Astyanax mexicanus: one gene and its partners. The protein of the gene in region 2 interacts with the protein of the main gene of each other region in a pairwise test. Links are inferred from orthologs where the notes say so. Each region holds a gene or a part of one and is shown on either strand. Other genes may lie near its edges.

The links.
Region 1: the proteins of kxd1 (region 2) and tcea2 interact in binary tests that used the Homo sapiens proteins (3 or more experiments, as listed by UniProt). The two-hybrid records come from large-scale screens. The link is inferred for Astyanax mexicanus from reciprocal best matches to the Homo sapiens genes KXD1 and TCEA2.
Region 3: the proteins of kxd1 (region 2) and lrrc45 interact in binary tests that used the Homo sapiens proteins (3 or more experiments, as listed by UniProt). The two-hybrid records come from large-scale screens. The link is inferred for Astyanax mexicanus from reciprocal best matches to the Homo sapiens genes KXD1 and LRRC45.

The regions. Positions count from the first base shown.
Region 1 is NC_064420.1:30,248,962-30,254,637, reverse strand, and holds the start of tcea2 (transcription elongation factor A protein 2), read right to left. Parts: upstream 2,982-5,676; 5' UTR 2,812-2,981; coding exon 2,743-2,811; intron 263-2,742; coding exon 200-262; intron 1-199. UniProt on the Homo sapiens protein: Necessary for efficient RNA polymerase II transcription elongation past template-encoded arresting sites.
Region 2 is NC_064417.1:35,895,135-35,900,810, reverse strand, and holds the start of kxd1 (kxDL motif-containing protein 1), read left to right. Parts: upstream 1-2,177; 5' UTR 2,178-2,367; intron 2,368-3,417; 5' UTR 3,418-3,424; coding exon 3,425-3,519; intron 3,520-3,800; coding exon 3,801-3,953; intron 3,954-4,960; coding exon 4,961-5,007; intron 5,008-5,135; coding exon 5,136-5,383; 3' UTR 5,384-5,676.
Region 3 is NC_064422.1:9,241,283-9,246,958, reverse strand, and holds the start of lrrc45 (leucine-rich repeat-containing protein 45), read right to left. Parts: upstream 3,549-5,676; 5' UTR 3,437-3,548; intron 2,178-3,436; 5' UTR 2,146-2,177; coding exon 1,914-2,145; intron 955-1,913; coding exon 893-954; intron 698-892; coding exon 627-697; intron 484-626; coding exon 305-483; intron 1-304. Other genes in the region: WD repeat-containing protein on Y chromosome, read left to right, coding at 5,015-5,082. UniProt on the Homo sapiens protein: Component of the proteinaceous fiber-like linker between two centrioles, required for centrosome cohesion.

The DNA of each region.
Region 1 (5,676 bases), on a different chromosome or scaffold from region 2:
CTTCAGATTATCTCAAGGACAGTGGATGGAGAGCTTCATAGAATGGGTTTTCATGGCCGAGCGGCTGCATCCAAAACATATTTGTCAATAAAAATGTCCTATTTTTATGTCAAGGCCTGAAGTGATTCTCCACATCCTAAAAAGTTGTTGTGTGATATGAAGTAGACTGCATTTAATATGTTAAAGTGGACTGAACTACCTGCAGGGTCTCCAGTGACATTTTCATGTTCTTCAGTTCCTTCAGCAAGTCTAAGGCACCATCCTGGATGTAAAGGAAGAAAAGAGGGAGAAAGAATTAACTTAGAAAGCAAAGTTTTTGCAATAACAATATCCTTGGCAATAGTATAAATATAACAGTTTTATACACTGAGCAGAAACATTTTATTTCTTAAGCAGGGTCTATGCAGATAACGATAATTACATTATTTACTTAGCGAACAATAAATGGACATGACCTCAATAATATTTGATCACAGTGATATTGTCATATTACAGCACTTCCATGCTTCCCTCTCCCCTGACAATTTTTATGGGGACGCGGATTTCATTTTCCAGCAGGACTTGGCACACTGCCCACACTGCCAAAACTACCAATTGGTCTTATATAATGTTCTATTTTTCTGAGACACTTTTTTGGGGGGGTTTATTGGCTGATTAAGACATAATAAACCATAATAAATAATCAAAAATAAAAGAAAGAAACACTTAAAATATATCACTCTGTGATACATCTATACAATATGAGTTTCTCATTTTGAACTAAATTACTGCAATAAAGTAACTTTTTAATGATATTCTAATTTTTTAGATGCACTAGTATAGAGCACACCCCTACACAGTGTGTCCACAGCAGTCAGACAGGAGAGAAAATTGGAGAAGGACCAGTTTGCCAGCTCATCAGCTCCAACAGCACGAAAACACACACACACACACACACACACACACACACACACACACACACACACACACACACACACACACACACACACACAAACACAACAGGAACGGAGAGAGTCGGTTATTCAAACCGCGTCCGTTCAAAATTCACCGGCGAGGCAGTGACGGTGTTTTGGTAATTAGCTTGGCTAAGCTAACTAACTAGCCATTTAGCTAGTTAGTGGTTTAATTGACAGCGGCGTCCTCTCATACGGGACCTCGAGCTGATTAATGGACGGTTTGCTGGTTTGCTAAACGAACACATTCACCGCTCTCAGTTCAGTCAGGAAGTCAGGAACCTCAAATGTAGGTTAGCTAATCAATGTTAACTAACTAGTTAACAAACAGAGCGGAGGGTAAAAGTGGGACTCGGTAAAGGGCGGATTCCGGTGCTACCCTAATGTATATAACACTATAAAAGGTAAAAATATAGGGTTTAAAATAAAGGTTAGGCTAAACTGTTTTTTTTCAGGTAAGTTAAAAGTTAACGTGACAGACTTAGCTAGCTGATTAAAAACAACTGTATTTTTCTTATAGTGTATTATTATTTTAATTTTTTTAATCACCATTTACAGTTTTGTGTTAACTTTTGTGTTATAATAATGCTGTTTTCTGTCAGTAATGCACACAAAGGAAGACTTTAATATTATAACATAAAATCTATATTAACATTAAATCCAATTAAATAGGTGAATACTTTATGTCTATTGGCTTGGAAGCCATCACAAGCCATCCCTAGACACTAAAATGAACTAAATCACATAAAATAAGCCAAAAAAAAGTTTAATTAGCCTTTTTGGCTCTAGTGTTTTTTTTGTTGTTGTTGTTGTTCAGTGCAGTGGGCAGGACTATGCTATTGTTTCATTGGCTTATAAACTTTTTCATTGGCTCATTCATACTCTATTTTGATTGACAAAAGGTCTCAATTAACTTCGTGTTATGTGCAAGAAAACATTTAAAAACATTAGAAAATTCATGGTGTCCATTGTAATGGACGCAGGGTTTAAAACGTTAATGCACCCAAGGAAAACGGAATTATTATAAAATACAAACGCATTAAATAGTAAAATATGTGGGTGGACGCATGCGCAGTGCCGTTAAGAAGCACATATCGAGGGGTAACATTACCATAACTCGACAGAACACCGGCAATAGCGCTGTGTATCAATCTTGATAGTTACTCAACTAAACAATATTACATAAGAAGGTTAGCTAACTAACTATTTAGTTTAAAAAAAAGACTAATAAATAATAAAAAACGGAGATAATGGGGAAAGCTCTAAAGATTCATTAATTAGAGCTAGGTAATTTACCCACTATTATGTTTTTTTGCCGGATAAATTTTTTTACCGAGTGGCGGTAAAAGCCTCGGTAACACCTCTTCCGTTAACTTTACCGCCAAACATGTCCTTTACTCTACTTAGCTAAAGAGAAAGCGTTAGGTAGCGTTATGTTAGATATGTTGAATTATGGGGGGCTGTGCTGAGGTCCTCCACGCCTCCTGCCTGCTCTCCAGCGTCCACCGTAAAAGCCCTAACCCCGGGGCATTCACTCTGGAGTGGAAAGCTAACAGTGGCTCACTGAGAGTGGTGGAAGACATTTTCAGAAACGATAACTAGCTAACGCTAGGTTAGCTAACCAAGCTATTTATACACAAGTACGTTTTCGCAAGTTTCCAGAAATTTCGTCCATAAGTAAGCCAGGTTAGCTAACCCCTAGCTGGCTAAAAGTGCAGCACGCTCCAGTCCAGTCCAGCGTCCCTGTCTACCTGCTCCTCTCTCCGCCGCCGGACCGACCCACACTCACCGTGTTTTCCTTCTGCACCATTTTGTCCAGCTTCTTCGCGATGCGCTCCACTTCTTGGTCTTTCACCATCTTTAAAAGCTCCCCTGTCTGCTGCAGCCTAAGCTCGTAACGTTAACTCCATTTAAAGTGTCACTAAGGAAACACGCCCGTGTTTTTCTCTCTCGCTCTCGGTGTCTGAATGAGTTGAATCCACAGCCTTTTTCGCAGGGCTCGTCTGTTGTGGTTTGGAGAATTGTGGGAAATGTAGTTCCAGAGCCAGCAGAGCTGTTTAACCCTTTCTGACCCTGCGTATATTGCAGTGAATGGACATCATTTTTGTGTTGGTGTTTTTTCTTTCTTTTTTTTTTTTTTTACATTTTGATTGACACAACACTGATTGAGAGGTGTTGTCCATCAGAATCAACCTTTACCAGCCAATCAAACAGCAGCGTAGCCCCGCCCACTGCACTGAAAAAAAAAACACTCCAGCCAAACAGACACAGTGACAGTTCTGCTTTAAAAAAATTTGATCTGATTTAGAACACTTTTTTATCATGTCTCAAGTTTATTTTACTGCTTAAGGATAGTTTGAGATTTTTTTTGTTTTTGTTGTAACTTAGTTTTTTTCTTTATTTTGTGGCACCATACCTGTCAAGTTTTGGATTTAAATATAAGGGAATTTTCCTGCTGCCCGCTTCGAGCCATCCCACCAGACCAACCGAGGTTCAGTATCATAGTATCATGATATAGTATGTAGTAATTATTATTATATTAATTATTATATTATATACACAAATATATAGTATTTTTTTATTTTAATATACTTTTGTTGTGATGATCAATGGTATTTTCCGCAGTCAGAAGAAGGTATATATGACATTATACATATGTGCATAGTATATATGAGTATGTATCATCATAGTGTGGTGTTTTTTGGTAGGAATGCCATCTCTTTCCTTACATCTATCCATCTCTCTGATTTGTTGTTCCAGGGTTGTTTCGGCTGTCAGCACTTCCAGCTGCCTGGGAGGCAGTTTGGAGAGACACAGGAATTTTCTGTTTTAATTTTTTTATTATAATATAATATGGTAAATTTACGGGAAAATAGGGTTAAATATGGTAGTTTCCCGGCCAATACAAGAGACTTGACAAGTATGAGTAGCACCACAAGTAGTATGTCAGACAACTCTAGAGGTAATAGGGTTGCTAGTTCAATTCCTGCTCTGATTCATGTCTGTGAGGAGTTGGGATGTGTTCTCCCTGTGTCTCCAGCTGACTCCCAAACAATGTATAGGGTAGGTAAGCTCTGTACTCACTGTGACCCTGACCTGGAAGAAACATATAAGACGATAAGATAGATGGATGGAGTTTTAGGTGCATTACAGACAGAAAAAAATATATATTTTATATTTTTCCATTATCAGGTTTTGTTGCTTCTCATTTTGCTCGTTTGTGTATCATTAAATGTAGAAAAAAATCCCAAAATCATTTTTGGTAGGCCACCAGAGTTGTTATTTATTTTATTTTTTTATTGTTTGGTTAACCCATATGGGCCCATGTTTAATCCCCCTGCTCCCATTCTTGAACCCTGATGTGCATCCATATTTAGGCACCCCATAGAACCTGTGAACAACTTTTCTTGTTCCTAGGGAGCTCCCCATTCAGACCTCACTTGGGGCAAGTTTTCTGGGGTATATTAATATGACTACTGCTATTACTGTTAATAATGTGATAATGTGATATTTGCTTTATATCTGTTGTCTTTTAACTCAAAATATTTTAAACAAATAGTTTGCTCTACTATTTAATCTAACTGACTTATTTATTTATTTATTTATCCATACTCAAAGAACTCTTGCAATGGACTGGTGGTGCCCTGTCCTGGGGTTATTCCAACCGTGTGCTTATTATTACCCTAGTGACTCTGGGTAGGCTCGGGATCCAGCATGACCATGACCCTGACCATGAAGGCGGGAAGACCACCCAAGGGTATATTTAAAAAGAATGGGCAGTCACACATTTCTGAAACAATTAATAATTACCACACAAAACATATAAATGCATATAAATAAATATTTTGTTTAAAGCTTTCTAATTATATTATTAGTGCATTATGGTAATCATACCACAATCTTATCAATTCTTGTAAAGATTATGAGTGCTGCACTTTGGCCTGCTTACCAGATGAGGGCATTCTTGTACAGCTGTTTGCTCAGCAACCTGTTGATGCCTTTTTCCAATGCTCAGGCAGCTTAAATGAGATTGGACTTCCTTTCCCTTTGGGTCATTGCTTTTGATTAATGGATGTGCCTGTTTTTGTGTGGTGACCTGAGGTGCTGAGGTTGGACCTGTGACTTTTACGCTTGGCCTGAAGCCAAAAGGTACAGCAGAGGGGGTCTTTCAGCAACAACAGGCCAATAGAATTTCTGTTGTGCAGAACTCAATGCCAACTCAATAACACTAATGGATTGATTAAATGATTGATACTAAACACTGAACACTTTTTAAGCATACTTATTATGTAATGTTGTTGTTACTCTTACTAGAGGTCAACTAACAGGCCATTCCCTGCTGTTGTCAGTGTTGTGTACGGTAGCTGCAGAACATACTGTGTGTTCAGCAGCATTGTGCTGTTTACGTTTCCCAAGGGCATAGTTGAAGTGTCAGCAGCTCGGGGCCCCCACAGTCACCGTACTACGTACGCCCCCATTATTTGCAGCCTGTGTACATTGTGAGGTGATGATGCCTGTACTGTTTAAGGGTGGTGGCGTGGTGTGCTGCACAGCGTAGGAAACCCCACCTCAGCCGTCAGTGTGTTTGCAGGGGGAAAGTCCCCCTTAGCTCAGGCACCACTCACGCGTACAGGAAACGCAGACTTTATCGCTCCTGTAAGGTCATCTCTGATTATAACCAGGCCATGGCAACTGTGTACCCCTACTCTAGGGCCCATAGGGA
Region 2 (5,676 bases):
TTAATAACCTGTATTTTTTTTGTTAAGTTAACAAGTTAAACGGAACTTAAACCATTTAATCAAAGAATTTGAATGGGTAAAATGTTTGGAACATAGTTGTAGAAGCCAATAATAGTTTTTTTTAATGAGCTATTTTTTTTTTTTTATAAGTGAAGTCAAATGACCAAATACATGCATACACTGTTCTGTGATGCTTTCAGGATGTATAGTATATGTCACTCGGAGACTCCATAAGTCAAAATAAAAATAAAAAAAATACTGCAATGAATTTTACACACCTAGCTAACTTTATTCCTTTACTTAGCATACATTTACACCACAGAAAATGCAAGTGACGTGATAATATAGAAATAACCTTACATGATTAAAATATAATTATAACTTGAAGACCAATTTTAGGTGTAGACAAAATTACAAAAATTAAAAAAGACTAACGTTAATGTTGTGCGCCCTCTTTAGCCACAGATAACAGGCATGCGTGTAGCTAGCAACATGAGGCCATTTAACTTCTCGGTCAACACGGATACAAATGTGTGTATTGTGAAGAAAATATGTATTATACGATGGTATTTAATCTACGCATTAATAAATTAGAGAGATGCCTGGGTCCCGAGGAGCTAACAGTTAGCTAACCTACGTATCCGTGGCTAAACAACGTAAGACATCGAGCTAGCAAGCTAGCTAGCAAACTAACTTACGTACGCTGTTAGCATTAGGTCAACCTGGCTTAAAATACACGTTACAAAAACACGTCAGAAATATCAAATTTTTCATTCCAAAATACAAAAAACAAACTTGTGAAATCTGACATAAAGAGACAAATATTAGTGAAGGAAATAATTTACCACAACTAACGTTAATGTCCGTTTCTCTCTGAAATCCGAGCAAAAATTAACGGTTAGCCTCGTAACCAGATAGCGTTAGCTTAGCTTAGCTAACTACTTTAATACGTAAAAACCAGCCTAAAACCAGCCCAGTCTGATCTATTTGATCAGTAAATGTTTATACGAACCTGTGAAGAAGCGACTGTCTAATAAACAGGTATAAAGGGTTTATCTACCCAGCGAGTAGCTGTATGTAGTTAGATAAGCTAATATTTTGATAAATTAGCGCAGCAGAACTCGTCGACTCGCTCAACTTCTTCCCTCCTGCTCAGAGCTGCGCGCTCCCTGCTGCCCCTGCAGGTTAGGAGACAAACCGAGATCAGAGCTGCGGGAAATTACTTTTAGCTGTTTACCTACCCAAGACTGGACTGTACTGGTCTTACCGATTTTTTTTTTTATCGGATAAAAAATGCTTAGATAATCTCAAAATGACAAGTGCGTGTAATTTATTGTAAAGTTGTAATGCCCGCAGCGCATCCGGTTGTGACATTTACCGGAGGTTTATGGAGAGCCTGCCCACTTCCTATCCGGTTATATAGAGGTATAGAGGGAGCCCGCGAGGGAGTCCTCAATGAATGGAGGTGCATAGAGCTAAACAGCTAAAAAACTAATACATATTAATAACTAGCCACCTCAGTCAGGGACAGTGTAATGTTCCTCAGCTTGATATTTTACCTGTTTAAGGCAAAATTTACTAAAATTAAATTTTAAGTTTTTCATTTTTAAGTTTTTCACAGCCTGAACTACAGTAAATACAAATATACAGGAAACATGTTTTATTCTGAAGGTTGATGAAAAATCTACTTTTGTCACAAAATGAAAAAATAAAAATAAAATAAAATCAAGTAAATTTATTTTATATTTTGTTCCTGGAATTAAAATTATTAGGGGAAAGTCAAGTTTTGCACAAAAAAACACTTACAAAATACATTTCCGACTGTTACATTTAAATAACTGTATGCACTCATCAACTTTACCAGCCTTAAGCTTCTATACGTTACCTCTATATTTGCTCTAATGTTTATTCGGATTCTTTTTATACTGGTACTGTCATTCCCTGTGTAATCTGTCATCATACCTAACTGGTACACTCTCACGCTTAAATTGCACTATTGTCTTGTTTCTCTTGTCTCACGTATGTCTATATTTGAGACACTATGAACAATAAAACTACTTAACTTGACTAAATTATTAGGAGAACCCATTCATTCTGCACTCACTCGTGAGCGCCTTCTAGTGTCTCACTAACCTGTAAAATATTGCTGAGTGTGTAATCTCCTCTGTACAGATTCTCTGCGTCCTCATCACATGACCGTTTAACACAACAACAAAGATGTCTGCTCTGTACAGCCCGGCGCACTAACAGCTCAAACCTTCCCAACCTCAAACCGCTGCATTTAAACCGGTAACTGAGACTACTGGAGCTGTACTGTGAGGTCTGTAAGAGACTGAGGCGCTTGGGTTGAGCTCGGAAGTCAGACAGGTAGGTTAACACCTGTGATCATCACCTCACATTTACAGAACTGCAGTAGCAGACCTGCAGCTGCGCTGCTTATTTTATCTTCTGCTGAACTAATTTAAACGTGCTGCTGTTTATGTTGTAAATATTTTTATACAGTTAGCTGCGTTACTTAGATTTAAGATTATTTTACGATTATATTTAAAGTTAATTATTGTCTGGTACTGCAAATGCGTTTACGCGTAAAGCAAACCTGCTGTGCGAATAAATTGGTGTATTTCTTGCAGTCTTCCACAGTTAGGCTGAATATTTCAGTAGTAATGGTTGCCTACTAACTTACATACTCTAACCTAAATCTATTGTGCAGTATATTCTGTTAAGATCATTAACAAATAGAGCATTTATAATATTTATCGGTATTTCTGCAGTTATTTAGCTATTTTTTTGCAAATTCTATGCTTAAAAGCACATTCCTGTTATTTTTATTCCTGTTACTCAAAACATAAAAAGTAACAGGAATGAATGCCATTAACATTATTTTTTTTTGTCATGCAGTCTAGCATTTCTTTAAAGTAGTTAGTAATTAGTAATTAGTAAACATGCTTTTTAAATGTTTTGTAACCACAAGTTTTTGAATCATCTTTTGCTTAGAAAAAAATAAGTAAAGCTGCCTGAAATTGATCAGTACAGCTTTTAAATAGTTAAATACGTGTGTTTTTAGATTCAGAGTTGAAAAAATATTAGATTATGAAGATTATAACGATAGTTCTGAAGAGTTACAACAAGCACATGGCACCAATTCAGTGTAATACCAATATACAGTGCTGTGGAAGTATTTATTTCTACTTTCATTTTTCAGGTTATCAAAGACATTTTAATATCCAACAATGATAAACATAGATTCAACACATCACAACTCAAACAGTGTACTTGTCATGTAACATGAGACTTCAATACAATCTTTGTACACTGTCAACCTTTTTCATGTTTAATGTGAAAATCATATCAGTGCTGTTAGTTGACTATGATATGTGTGAAATGATTGTTAACTCAGACGTTCATTTCTTTTTATAGCTACAATATGGATCCGACAGCATCTGGGATTTTCTGCAACAGAATGCTAAGCATGGTCAATTCTGAGGATGTGAACGCCATCATTCAAGCCCAGAGACACATGTACAGTTTTTGCTGTCTAATAATCAAAACAGTCACATGCATTTACTTCTGTAAAATTGCTTAGGCTAAAATTACTTGAGAAAAATATTATCTATATTTTTGCTTGAGAAAAGTACAGAAATTCTTGCTTGTGAATGCTGGATGAATGTTTGTTTAAATACTGTATTTACAATAGCATTTCTACTTTTACTCAATACAGAAGTACTGACTTGTCCACCCTTAGTCAAAAATAATGTATAATTTATAATAATCACAATTTAATGTTATTAATCTCTCCTTAGGCTGGACCGCTTTGAGAAGACCAATGAGATGCTCATTAACTTTAATGGTTTGTCCAATGTGCGACTTCAACAGATGAACGACCACTTTCTGCTCCACACTCGCACTTTAATTGAGATGAAGAAGGATTTGGACAGTATTTTCCGGCGAATAAGGTGCTTTAGGAGTTCTTTAAGTGTTAGTCTGTTTGGTTGGTGTAAACATTGAGTTTTGTTAAAAAAAAAAAAAAAAAAAAAACATTGTACACTGGGTTTCCAGGAAGGAATCAAACCTAGTCTTGCAGTGTTTTTTCTTTCAATGAGAAAGTTTAATTAAAAATGCTATGTAGTCCATTACTAGACATAATCTGGAAATTGTAGTCACATACATAGAAAGACAGGGTACAACTAGCAGTGAGGTTTTTTGTTGACTGTCCTGTATAAAATGTAAAAAGTCAAGTGAAAAAGTAAAGATAACAAGTAAGTAAGAAAGTAATAAATAACTAAGGGTGATTTCCTACTTTATTTGGATCAGAATATTTGACTTTTCCGATTGGGCCCCAATCAAAGTAGCAGGTGTGAAAGGGGCCGCAAACAGTCCAGAACAAATGTACGGAAAGGGGAGTCGGATACTGATAGAGGGATAGAATTCTCTGCAACATCTGGCTAAGCAACCTATTACTTTAATTCTGCCCAATAACTGCAGTGTAAAATCAAAAAGAACCAATACAAATGTTCAATACACAATGTAACAAACACATGAACACAGACATTGGTCCGGATGTTCTAGTGTGCAAACATCCTAAGAAGAATCTCCATAGAAAGAAGTTCTTATAGAAGCATTGGAGCTGCTAAAAATGATCAATACTTAACCAAATATTGTCTAGAAGTGTAAAACCCACCAGTAATAGGCTGTGGAACAATTTAATTTGGTTTCAGAAGAGTTCTTTAGATTTATGTTTTATCTTATACATTTGGGTGGGTAGAATTTATCATCCAAAATCTCTAATGCTCATCTGACTGAATGCGGTCAAATTCTCAAAGCAATGTAGTGTAGCATCTAGTGTAAAGCCTCCCCACAAAAAGTATAGTGTTTTTAAAGTAAAGGGAGATAGATTCTTGGTTTTAGAAGTGGTAGTGTATGAGTGGAATAATTCAGTATACCTTGTTGTATTTTTGTGCAGGACATTGAAGAGTAAGATTTCAAAGCAGTATCCTGAGGCTTTCAGCAGTGAGTATCACCTAGACTTTCTTAATTATGTTATTTGTATTGCCAACACATTTCATTCTCTCACATAATACACCTTTTTCCAGAGCATTACCTTTGCTCATGTAATTTTATCAGTGATTTCTCAACAGACATCCACGAGTCTCCTAGCCTAGAGGATGATGATGATGAGTTTGACCCAATCCCTCCCAGTGTGGCCACCACTGCCACCACAACAGAGCAGAGCACCGAGTCATGTGACACCAGCCCTGACGTAATTTCACCCACCATCAGCCGCTGCTCAGAGGAGCTCTCCCAGGAGAATCCCGACACGCCTACGTCTAACAGCCCAGAGAGGGCTGTACTGCTGGACGAGGGTCCAGATTCAGCTGAGATCTAGAGTCTTTAGATGCTTCTGCATATTTGAGTTACTTTAGAACCTCATATTAACAGCAGGATTGCATTAAATAGCCTGCATGGGAGGAAGATGCTACACCATTTGCCATTCATGCATTTAGACAGTTATTCAGTTTAGGTTTGGAGATAAATGAGATGTCTGAGTCACTTGTATTGTTCATATTTTATGTCACAGTGGGCATTATTGTTACATATTGTATGTATTTTACCCTCAGAATGAGAGCTTATTTATTTTTTACCTCACATTAAAGTAGCCTGCCCCACATTGCTTCAAAT
Region 3 (5,676 bases), on a different chromosome or scaffold from region 2:
AATCAAAGGCTTAAAATATGAATTTAGGAGTAGGAGCCTAAAAAAAACATACTTTCTGTGACTGAACACAAATAGAAGATATAATTTCTAATCTATTGTTCAGATTTTACATTTAGTGTCAGCTCTTAAGTATGAAATAAGAAATAAATAAAATATATATACAAAAAAAAACTTTTTTTCTTGTGAGCAGATATGTTTTCTTGTTATGAACAGGTGAGCTATGAGGAGTCAAAGCTTCAAAACTCCTGTATTAGAGATCACAAAACGTGGGGATGTCCGATAATGCCTGTCTGTAAACACTCACCAAGCTCTTGGAGGACAGAGTTTCGTTTCAGAGCTAAGGCAAGCTCAGCTGCCCCCTGATGGTTGATTTGATTGTTACGCAGGTCTAGCTGAGTGAGGCAACTGTTAGATGCGAGACCCTCACAGAATATAGAAAACCCCTCTTCCCACATCCCGAGAGCATTCCACTCCAAAACAAGCCTGTGAACAAGAAGCAGACGTTATACATACAAACAGCAAAATCAGAAACCTGATGAGTGAGTCTGTCTCTTTACAATTGTTAAGCTGGTACTATAGTTAGAGTATAACTATAGTGCTTTTTAATGTAAAACATGGGCATTCACCTTCGTAACGTCTTATTCCTCACCAACAATTTCCCCAAAGCTTCTGCTCCGGCTCCTCTTAAGTTATTCCCCTAAGGAATTTTACAATTATTAATATTAAAGAATTTGATGATCATTAGCATTTCATCATTAACATTTCAGTGTGCTGTACTTGCAAACATAAAACATATTAAATTCCCTTTTCGCATGCATTAATAAATTAATTTTAAAAAAGCACATTCTATTAAAGGAAATGGCTATTTTAAAGTCCATGACTATGATCTTACCTTAAGATCCAGGACTTTTACTGTGGTATTGGAACACAGCCCACTCAGGAAAAGCTTGGCACCTGTAAACGCAGATCCAGAACAGATGGTACTGATTATATACATCAGAGCAATCTATTTGTCCTTCAAATTGTTTAAGATAATATGCCAATGCCAATGTTAAATAAGTTATAGGGCCATATTTTATATTTTTCCAGTATTTTAATTTTTTTTTATCTACTACAGGTACTTTAATTTATCCCTTAAAATTAAACAAGCATTCATTGAGCATTTAAGACCTATTAGAACAGTATTATAAAATCGCTGTAAAAAAAATTGAACCATAAGGATCCTCTGCATCTACATCTAGCTGATCTTCCTCTGAGACACCATCCGTATATACACTACTGATCAAAAGTTTAGAACTCCGCAATTTTTCCCCTTTATTTTTGACATTTAAGCTTTTTAATCCAGTGTAAAAAAAATTCTAGTAAACTGCCAGGACCTTTAAGAGAAAAAAATGAATGAAAAACTAAAAAAGTATAAAAGTCATATGTTGTTTAAAAAGGAGTGTGTGATTTTTAGCAAACAATTTATTTGTTAACAGCTTACAGATGGTAAATGGCAAAGAAAATTGTCTGTAGTAAAGCAGTGACGGAACAGATGATGTTACTGCACTCTCTACTGCAGCATTTACACACTCACACAGCACATTCACACTTTCATCATCATAATAACTAGAAAAAGACAAAGAAAAGCAGAGAACTCTGTAACTATTGAAAGTAGAAGTCTTTCAGTCTTTAGACAAATTACAGATGAAGCCAGAGAGTGGTGAGTACTGTTTCCTACACCTTCAAAAGATTCTTGGAAACTGGAGAAAACTGCTACAGGAAGACGTCTGGCTGACCCACATGGAAACAGCTTTAGCCTTTAGCTCTTTAGCTTAACATGTCTGGACCGAGTCTCAGTTTCAGCAGTGAAGAGAAGATTAGAGGTCTAAAAGGTAAAGTAATAAGCAGTAATAAGGTCAGTTTAGACTCACCTTCTTCACTAAGCATGCAGTCACTGAGGCCGAGCTCAGTGAACAGCGTGTCCTTCTGCAGCGTCCTTCCCAGCACGGCACAAGACTCCACGGTCAGACTCTGACCACTTAGGTCCAGCCTGGTTCCTCCAGCTGCCGCTCGCGTCCCCTGCAGTTGAGCCAGGACTGACTCCTGGGGCTCCACCCCAGCCTCCTTACAGAGCTGCATGTAGGCCCGCCTGAAGTCCTCCATCAACAGACAAGCTCCCTCACTCACATACAGAGCTGCAAAAAGACAAAAGACAAAAAGAGAATATTGTATTTGAGGGGAAAAAAAAAAAACATCTTCACCTCAGTCTTATTATAATATTGGTGTCTGATCTGAGCTGCATCTCCAGCCAATAGACTGCATGCAGAATTTTCTCCATCTCTAATGTAAATGCAATCATCATGATTGCAGAAGGAGCAAAGGGTCACGTTGAAGATGTTCAAAAAGGATTTAAATTCAAATCAACAACATGCTTCTAGATGCAACTACAAGAGGGGAAGGGGTGCTCAATGCACTGTTATGTTGCAACATGCATTATATTACATTACATTTAAAACCCAAGCATTTATATTTAGTTTATGTGAGTTGTTGTAATTGATTATAATCAAACAAGGCTATTAGTTACTTAGGGTGGATGATATGGCCCTAAAATAATAATAAGATATATTTTAGGATATTTTTTGCAGTTACAATATTCTTGGCAATATGACAAAACAAAAATTTTAAATCCTTATTACTGCAACTAAATACAGTAACGTTACCAGTCAAATGCTTGGACATTTTTTATTTTACAATTTTATTTAGTTTTTAAATGTAATAACAAAATCATGTCAACATAAAAACAAAATTTAACATAACAATAATGTAATGTACCAAAATAAACACCATAATACTAAAGTACAGAACATTTAAGACATGCATATAAACTGCAAACATAGACAGATATACCAAAAAAAAACCTTTCACAGAAAATAATGATATTATTGTGTCACGATATTGTGTGTATAAAACGGTATGAAACGCTTCTATTAGGTACTTAGTTACTTTAGACCAATTAATTAACCCTTAACCTTTTATAAATACATAATAATTGCTTATTTTTGCAATTGTCCGTTCCACCTTAAATGCTTTAGTGTTTCTGAGCCTTTACATTCTGACTTCTGAATCCCCCTAATGTAACTGCTGCAGAATTTAAGGTGGACAGAATCATTCATATAACAAGATAGTGAAGTAAAAGGCAAACTTTAGTTCATCTTATTAAGCCTGTATTACACATGGCTTCATTATTCATTAATAAAATACAAACATGTAGTAAAATAACTCCAATTACACAAAAGTTAGACAGTTAGGGTTAGCTAGTTAAGCTAGCTAGCATTAATTTGTTGTTAGCTAGCTCAGTTAGCTATTGTGCTAGCCAGCGAGCTACAACAGTCTCTAGAACACGCTAAAATAGATTAAAATAAGTCAAATAAATGTATAAATAAGCAGTTCTTACTCTATAAAGCTGAGCGACATCCCTGCGGTTCTAATGTTTTAACAGTTGCCGCTGTTTACAGCTTTGCTGGCTAGCAGTTGACATGTATCCAGGAACTTAGGCAGCTACGGGGCCGCGCTGCATTCTGGGACATGTAGTACAGCCACAAAACAACATAGTAGTAGTCTTTAATTTAGATAAAAACGCTTTTTTTATTATTATTATTTTTTGTTGCATTTTCTGCATTTAACAATACGTGGTGCACATTATGTTACAGATTAGTATAACATAGATTATTAGATTATATATTTGTCAGAATACATAAACACATTAGAGGAACACATTGTAATACTAGCTAACTGTCTCTATTAAACAGAGCCTGTGATATCATGTAAAAAAAAAAGTGAGGTTCTTATTTCCACGCCTTAATAAGTCATGGCCACGCATTATTTTATTTTTAACATGCTGTCACCTTAGGGGCCATTACTTTACAGTAATGGTGAAGCCATGACCACAATAAAAATAGGCCTTTTTATTCATAATGCAGACACAGCAATGAACACAGCCATGATAAATTAAAATAATTAGTACATGCTTTTTGCACGTTTCAAGAAGCACACATACTTTTCCCGTCATTACGATAGCAAAGACACACTGACACGCCCTAAATCAAACTGTGAGGTGCTCGGTTGACGGCTAGGCTACAGATTGCTAAATTGCAGACCTATAATGTCCATTGCAATGGAAAATTGGGTCTGAAAGGGTTAGTAATAACCATTTAATGTATTAATTTTCCATGAGGTAGATTTAAGAGATTTAAAGAGATTTAAGAATCTGCTTATTTAATTTGCCACCAATGTGAACACTTCATATGTTACTGTATGTTTATTAGAAGCTTTTGCTGATTCTGTGGGATTTCTATGTCAGAAATGCTTATATGTACTAATATGTTTATATTATTTCTTGAGGCATGGCTTGTCATATCATTGGTACAATGACCGGGATAACTTGAAATCATTCTTAGTCTATCATTAATATTTTCTTGGTGGAACATTTACTCAAAGCTGACATTCTTCAGAGGTATGTTATCCAGTTTTGCTCAGTTCTGACTGGCTGTCCTACACTAAACCTTATTTATTATTGCTTTCCTGATATATGGGCCCTTCCATGGTTTATCAGCTTGGATGGGATGGGAAAAACACTGAAAAGGAATCTAACAGTGCATTACAGTGATCAATGTGTGTGACTGGTGAACACAGTGTTGGCTCCAGCTGGATCTTTGTTGTGTGAGATTACCTTGGTGATTGATGGATGATTAATCTGGAAAGCTGACCACTGGTTCCTTGTTGTTTGAGCTGCTGCCATTGGGAATGCTCAGCCTGGGGGAGAAACAGAAGAGTAAACGCTCTGAGATCAGGGAGAGAGAGTCGCTGAATAACTAGTGTGTTGGTGCGAAGGAATAACTATGTGTTAAAAAGAGATTTCAGAGATTTTCAGCTTTTGGAAAGCTACAACATCCCTCCTCCAACAGCGAGGTGACCAGAGGAACATCACAGTCAGCCTAATACCAGAGAGGATCCATCTTTAGGGTTTGGTGATATGGATGACCGGGCCAAAGACGACCCATGGAGAGTGTATGAGGAGGAAATCCCCAGCAGAACCATTCGGTAAGAGTCATTAAAGGTCATTAAAAAGGTTTTAAATTCAACCAACAAATCAGAGCTGTGTGTTTATGAAGTATTGTTTTTTTAATTAATTTAAATTAATTAATTAACATTTAATTTATACAGTTTAGTTACTAATTTTAATTTTGACAATGCTGCTTTTATCTTGTTAACTTTCTTCTGGTGAAAAAATGCTGTTGAAAACAAAAACACATCATCCATACATTTTCAGATAAAAAAAATCTGAATAAGATCTGATATACATTTAAATTTATGAACCACACTATCATATTTATAAAAATTCAGGGCCTTGCCTTTAACCATGTCTTGCACTAGGTGGAGCCATAGTGACACAATTACTAGCACTAAATAAAAATAAGGGATTTATTAAGTCCCTGACAGCTACACACTAAAATCTGGGACAAATTAAGAAAAAAATAATCAAGTTTTTCTTCTCATCTGAGCAACTAATTTCTCCCTACTGCAGCCAAGAGTATAAAGCTTTAACTTTCATCTTCTCATTTTCATTTCATTTCTGCTCATGTTGTACATGAAATTGCAAACAACATACAACACCTAGGTGCTTATTTTGAATAT